Linked DNA regions of Saccharomyces cerevisiae S288C. The protein of the gene in region 1 purifies or fractionates together with the protein of each later gene. This does not show direct contact. Each region holds a gene or a part of one and is shown in the gene's direction. Other genes may lie near its edges.

Evidence for each region. The genes of interacting proteins can lie anywhere in the genome.
Region 2: the proteins of UTP18 (region 1) and UTP11 purify together in Saccharomyces cerevisiae (affinity purification with mass spectrometry, with the first as the bait; 2 studies listed by BioGRID). This does not show direct contact.

What each region holds. Positions count from the first base shown.
Region 1 is NC_001142.9:310,948-314,706, reverse strand, and holds the start of UTP18 (Utp18p), read left to right. Parts: upstream 1-2,000; coding exon 2,001-3,759. Other genes in the region: MPM1 (Mpm1p), read left to right, coding at 1-593; YJL068C (S-formylglutathione hydrolase), read left to right, coding at 792-1,691. UniProt on the Saccharomyces cerevisiae protein: Involved in nucleolar processing of pre-18S ribosomal RNA and ribosome assembly.
Region 2 is NC_001143.9:255,061-258,472, reverse strand, and holds UTP11 (rRNA-processing protein UTP11), read left to right. Parts: upstream 1-2,000; coding exon 2,001-2,753; downstream 2,754-3,412. Other genes in the region: MTC2 (Mtc2p), read right to left, coding at 630-1,703; YPF1 (aspartic endopeptidase), read left to right, coding at 3,013-3,412. UniProt on the Saccharomyces cerevisiae protein: Involved in nucleolar processing of pre-18S ribosomal RNA.

The sequences.
Region 1 (3,759 bases):
ACTTCAGAGATCTTGGAGATAGTGCACTTGCCATGGCGTCCGGAATCCCTACGGTGAAGCAGTTTGACAAGTGCGAAGAACTTAAGGGCCAGTCTGCATGGACCACCCAAGGGATTTGGAAATGTCTTGTCCCAAGTAAGGCTATCCCCCCTCTACCACAATTGGACTTCCTCTTACCTCTGGAGGAGATCAAATCTGACAAGTCGCACTCTCATGGGTTGTTCTTCAATGATTTCAACCTCTTTTTGAAGTGGAGGTCGCACATGAATAGACTACAAAAACAAAGAATCAAGACTAGGAGCACTGCCGTAGAGCCTCTGGCTAGAACTCCAGAAGACCTCATGTTGAATTGGGACGACTTGCATCTGGGCAACGATGCTGAATATGCTTCTGCAGATGGATCCAAGAAAATTGTTGGAAGGGCACAGTCCATTAGTACCACGAAGGATTCCAATGATGCAAAACCCAGCACCGTCAAAACTGAAAAAATCTACTTTGACGATGGCACGGTAGACATTACTACCACCACTACCTCCAAGGGTTCCAGTCCCCAGGTGAAGCATAAAGTGGTGAGTGTTGACGAAGACAATTAGGACATATTTTCGTTTCCTTTTTTTACTCATATCTTACACAATATGCCTTGTATATATCGCACGATTATGACCTTGCGCGTGTGGAAAACATGCGACTGCTAAGGGGAGATCCACACACACACACACAAAAGATCAATACACATTTTTGACAATATATAGCATCAATAAAATACATATAAGCGATTCACATAGTTCAATATGAAGGTTGTTAAGGAATTTAGTGTCTGTGGTGGCAGATTGATCAAGTTGTCACATAACTCGAACTCTACCAAGACCAGCATGAACGTCAATATCTATTTGCCTAAGCACTATTACGCCCAAGATTTTCCAAGAAATAAGCGTATCCCAACTGTGTTTTACCTTTCTGGCTTGACGTGCACGCCAGACAACGCCTCTGAGAAGGCTTTTTGGCAGTTTCAAGCTGACAAGTACGGATTTGCAATAGTCTTTCCGGATACGTCCCCACGTGGTGACGAAGTAGCCAATGATCCTGAGGGCTCCTGGGATTTTGGACAGGGCGCCGGATTCTATCTAAATGCCACCCAAGAACCATACGCCCAACATTACCAGATGTACGACTACATTCACAAAGAACTCCCACAAACATTAGATTCTCATTTTAACAAGAACGGTGACGTAAAGCTGGACTTCTTGGACAATGTTGCCATCACAGGCCATTCGATGGGGGGATATGGTGCAATTTGTGGGTATTTGAAGGGCTATTCCGGAAAGAGATACAAATCTTGTTCTGCCTTCGCCCCTATCGTGAACCCTTCCAACGTTCCCTGGGGTCAAAAAGCGTTTAAAGGTTATCTGGGCGAAGAAAAAGCCCAGTGGGAAGCGTACGACCCATGTTTATTAATCAAGAATATTAGACATGTGGGCGACGACAGAATTTTGATCCATGTAGGAGACTCCGATCCCTTTTTGGAAGAACACTTGAAACCGGAATTACTACTTGAGGCGGTGAAAGCCACTTCATGGCAGGACTACGTGGAAATAAAAAAAGTTCACGGCTTTGATCACTCCTATTACTTTGTCAGCACTTTCGTTCCAGAACATGCTGAATTTCATGCGCGAAACTTGGGTTTGATTTGAGAGGCATCGCATTTCATTATGGTAATTTTTATGACTTTTCTATGTACATATTTAGTGAAATATACGTCCGTAGAAAAAAATGGCCAAACATAGTTATCCTTTCAAAGGTTATTCGCAGTAGATTTTATGTCACCTGTAACTTCCATTACTATTGCTATTATGTGGTTAATTGGCATCACATCCGACGAATTTAATAATATGAAATGAAAAAAACGAAAAATAAAAAAATTTCACCTCATCTCATCGATCACTCTGGTCCTGTTGTGGTATCGTTCTTGAAAGTGTATATCAGCCTACATTAGTGCGACAATGACAATGGCAACAACCGCAATGAATGTTAGCGTACCTCCACCAGATGAAGAAGAACAGTTACTAGCCAAATTTGTATTCGGTGATACAACAGATTTACAAGAAAATCTCGCTAAATTTAATGCCGATTTCATTTTCAATGAACAAGAAATGGATGTTGAAGACCAGGAGGATGAGGGATCTGAATCAGATAACAGTGAAGAAGATGAAGCGCAGAACGGTGAATTAGACCATGTTAACAACGATCAGTTATTTTTTGTGGACGATGGTGGTAACGAAGATAGTCAAGATAAGAATGAAGATACCATGGACGTGGATGACGAAGATGACTCTTCAAGCGATGATTATTCTGAGGACTCTGAAGAAGCTGCTTGGATAGATTCGGATGATGAAAAAATTAAAGTGCCTATTCTTGTTACCAATAAGACAAAGAAATTAAGAACCTCCTATAACGAGTCCAAAATCAACGGTGTTCATTACATCAACAGATTGAGATCTCAGTTTGAAAAGATATATCCAAGGCCCAAATGGGTGGACGATGAATCTGATTCTGAATTAGATGACGAAGAAGACGATGAAGAAGAAGGCTCTAATAATGTTATTAATGGAGATATTAATGCTCTAACGAAGATCCTGTCTACTACTTACAATTATAAAGACACTTTATCGAATTCCAAACTATTACCCCCTAAGAAACTTGACATTGTGCGTCTTAAAGATGCAAATGCATCACACCCGTCTCATTCCGCCATACAATCTCTTTCATTCCATCCTTCTAAGCCTCTACTGTTAACGGGTGGGTATGATAAGACCTTAAGAATATATCATATTGACGGGAAAACGAACCATCTAGTGACAAGTTTGCACCTGGTTGGGTCTCCAATACAAACATGTACTTTCTATACTTCTCTATCAAACCAAAATCAACAAAATATATTCACCGCCGGTAGAAGAAGATATATGCATTCCTGGGACTTATCCTTAGAAAATTTAACTCATTCACAGACTGCCAAAATCGAAAAATTTTCCAGATTGTATGGACATGAGTCCACTCAAAGATCATTTGAGAATTTCAAAGTTGCACATTTGCAGAATTCACAAACAAATTCTGTCCATGGAATTGTCCTTTTACAGGGTAATAATGGTTGGATTAACATTTTACATTCCACTTCCGGACTATGGTTAATGGGCTGCAAGATAGAAGGTGTGATAACGGATTTCTGTATCGATTATCAACCTATTTCACGTGGTAAGTTTAGGACCATTTTAATTGCTGTAAACGCGTATGGTGAAGTGTGGGAATTTGACTTGAATAAGAATGGCCATGTTATAAGAAGATGGAAAGACCAAGGTGGCGTGGGTATAACAAAAATCCAAGTTGGTGGTGGGACAACAACTACTTGTCCGGCTCTTCAAATAAGTAAGATAAAGCAAAATAGGTGGCTTGCGGTAGGTAGTGAGAGTGGATTTGTTAATCTTTACGATAGAAATAATGCTATGACCTCGTCGACCCCTACACCTGTCGCCGCCTTGGACCAGCTAACAACTACCATTTCTAATCTACAATTTTCCCCTGATGGTCAAATACTGTGCATGGCATCCCGTGCAGTCAAGGATGCTTTGAGACTAGTTCATCTGCCTTCTTGTAGCGTGTTCAGCAACTGGCCTACCAGCGGGACGCCTTTGGGTAAAGTTACCAGTGTCGCATTTTCGCCATCTGGTGGGCTACTGGCCGTGGGTAACGAACAAGGTAAAGTGA
Region 2 (3,412 bases), on another chromosome or scaffold:
GTGATACTATGTGGTTGTTTGCCATTAGTTGCACATTGCAATAAAAGGGTCGTCAAAAAAAGACGAGCAGCATAGTATCTGTAGCATTATTAATATGTCTAGGGGATGGCGTACGTTATGCTTCTCAGACGGTTTTCTAAGAAAAGCTTTGTCCCTTGCGGTGACCGCACAAAATAAAAAGGGGAGGCTAGCAATTCACTCATAGCACCTTGTCTATTAGAAATGGAATGCATACTGATTGTCCTTGCGCTTAATTGTCTATTGTAAATTGTAATCGCATGGTCATCTTTTAGTAGCATCTCTATTACTTCGTATTATGGTCAGTAAATGATTGACCAAGTGCAAGCGGAATCTTTCGTTGCTGGACTCAATTGGTAATGTCTATATACACTATTGCAAAGTAGTTAAGCCTTGCCATTTTCATTTCTCTCTTACTTTTTAGACCAAATATTTAGCTATTTACTTTGACCGATTTTGCTCATTTTTCGGGTCATGGCATAATGAATAAAAACAACAATTGGTTAACAAAACGATAAAGGGCAATTGACGCTAAGAATAGAAACTTTTAAATACCGTTTGTACGTATGTAAACATAGGTTCCAGATGCATGCTCGAAATACATAATAAACTTACACGGGCGGCACGACTTTACTTAGTACGTTTTTCACTACGAGAGATTCCAGGAAAAGGGGATTCTCAAACTCATTAACCTCCTCACACTTAATCTTCGCAAGTTTCTCTAGCATTTCGTCCACCAAGTTGGGGTCGCTACCGTACAATAAGGAACTATCCATGGAGGAACGCTGAACCAATTCCAAGTGCATGGGGAAGTACCACCTGGACGCCTCTTTGACATGTGAAGGTGACACAAACATCTTGCCGCTATGTAGACCAATTAATCTAGACAATAACACCACGTCGTCCAATGAATTTGTATATACCCCGCCGGCTTTGGCGTTATACGTCAATCTATGCGTTCGCAAATGGACCATGATATCGAGAATATACCGTCTTACAGTGGACCCCACAAATACATCGTTCAGATTTGCCTCTTCATTTAATATGATCGACCTCTTGCTCTCTGGCTCCTGCTTCTCTTCCTCAGCCATACCAATGCTATTATTGGCTCTTGTATTAATGCTAGACTCAGTTGAACTTTCAAAATCCAAATATGGGGGTGCACATGCAAACCAGAATTTGTGTTTGAGCCAAGCGCCCATACGGAAAGACGTGGGCAGGAAGATGCGAGTTTTGGGAGCTGGTTTACCTGCTTCATCCCCATCCTTAGCGGCGCCTGAAGGCTGCACGGGATTATTCCAATGAACCACTCCTATAAATATACGTGTTGACTGTGCCTTCTCAATCGCCACTGTGCAATCTCTCATAATTTTTACTAATTTCGCTTGGTCTGGCTGTAAAAGAGAATTTATGTCTGGAATGATAACAATCTCAAATTCCTTAACATGTGTAGTTGCTAACGAGTCCAAGCTTGCAGTTGTTGAGTTCAGAACCGTGACCTTTATTCCTCCGCCCGGATAAGCGTCATTGATTGCCCTCTTCAGTTGTATATCACAAGTACTTGGCATCGAAGAGGCTAATTTTTCCTTTGAGACGCTGTCTCTATACATACATAGAAAGCTCTTTTTAGCTGTAACAGAAAACTTCAAACATGTCTGAAAATCCGGCAGATTATGATCGCCCATTCCTATTTTTGCCACATCCAATCAATAATTTTGCAGCTCCGATTTTGCAGGTGTTGCTGTTCAATGGAAGTAATCGTTGTTATAAAGGAGCACATCACCAAGTCCTCTAAGGCTTAAAGGTTTGTCGTTATGCACGTAAAAGATGAAATTTTTTTATGGCTAGATGAGCTCATCGCGATTTGAAGAAAAAGAGTAAAGAAAACAATGCTAAGAAACTACAATAAGAGCAAGTTGCATATCATCGAATAATACTAGTGGGGTTTTCTAGTTCGTTACAGCCAACAACAGACAAAAGATATGGCTAAACTTGTACATGATGTTCAGAAAAAGCAGCATAGAGAACGTTCTCAGCTAACTAGCCGTTCCAGATATGGGTTTTTAGAAAAGCATAAAGACTATGTGAAACGTGCTCAAGACTTCCACAGGAAGCAGTCCACTTTGAAAGTCCTCAGAGAAAAAGCAAAAGAGAGAAATCCAGATGAATACTACCATGCTATGCATTCAAGGAAGACAGATGCAAAAGGACTGCTGATCAGCTCACGTCACGGTGACGAAGAAGACGAATCGCTTTCCATGGATCAAGTTAAATTACTCAAAACGCAAGATAGTAATTATGTGAGGACGCTGAGGCAAATAGAGCTGAAAAAGCTGGAGAAAGGAGCGAAACAGTTGATGTTCAAAAGCAGTGGGAATCATACAATATTCGTCGATTCCCGAGAGAAGATGAACGAATTCACCCCAGAGAAGTTTTTCAATACCACCTCCGAGATGGTGAATAGATCTGAAAATAGATTAACTAAGGACCAATTAGCCCAAGATATTTCAAACAATAGGAACGCTTCATCAATAATGCCAAAGGAATCATTAGACAAAAAGAAATTGAAAAAGTTCAAGCAAGTCAAGCAGCACTTACAGAGGGAAACTCAATTGAAACAGGTCCAACAAAGAATGGATGCTCAAAGAGAATTGTTGAAGAAGGGTTCCAAGAAAAAAATCGTAGACTCTTCAGGAAAAATTTCATTTAAATGGAAGAAACAACGGAAACGTTAGATTTTTACCATCTATATAGTATATATAAGTGAATCAGGCAGACGTTCCGTAATCCTTCTTTTCATGTTTTATAGGATTACGTTTATAAAAAGTATTCACTTTTCTTAAGTGTCTTTTGCGCCATCAAAAAAAAAAGGATTTTGAGGCACCGGAAAAAAAAGAACCCCTCTCCGAATGGGAGTATTTAGGACAAGATTTGTAAAGTGCTCCCTTTTTGAGCAATACTACAGATCTATAATGGGGAACAAACTCATACACGATGGACAAGTATTTGAATTCATTTGTTGACCACCTTTCAGAGTGGTCATCTCGTGCCTTTAGGAACAATTCATCAAGCGCTAACCAAAGTGCGTCGAACAAGGAATTAGAACAAGTTTTTGAACAGATCAATGCTATAGTTGAAAACCACAATAACAAATTAACCACTGCCTTTGATAAGATATCATATCGCGTTGCTCACAAGATTACACACTTGGTGGAAAGCCATTCTTTAGTATTCAACTACGCCACTTTAGTTCTCATCGCAAGTGCTTTGGTCGTTATTGGCTCATTTACGTCTATTTCTTCTATTCCATTTACAGCTCTACCTCCTACGAGAGAACACTCATTGTTTGATCCTACAGATTTTGATGTGGACCACGACTGTCATGTTATCTACC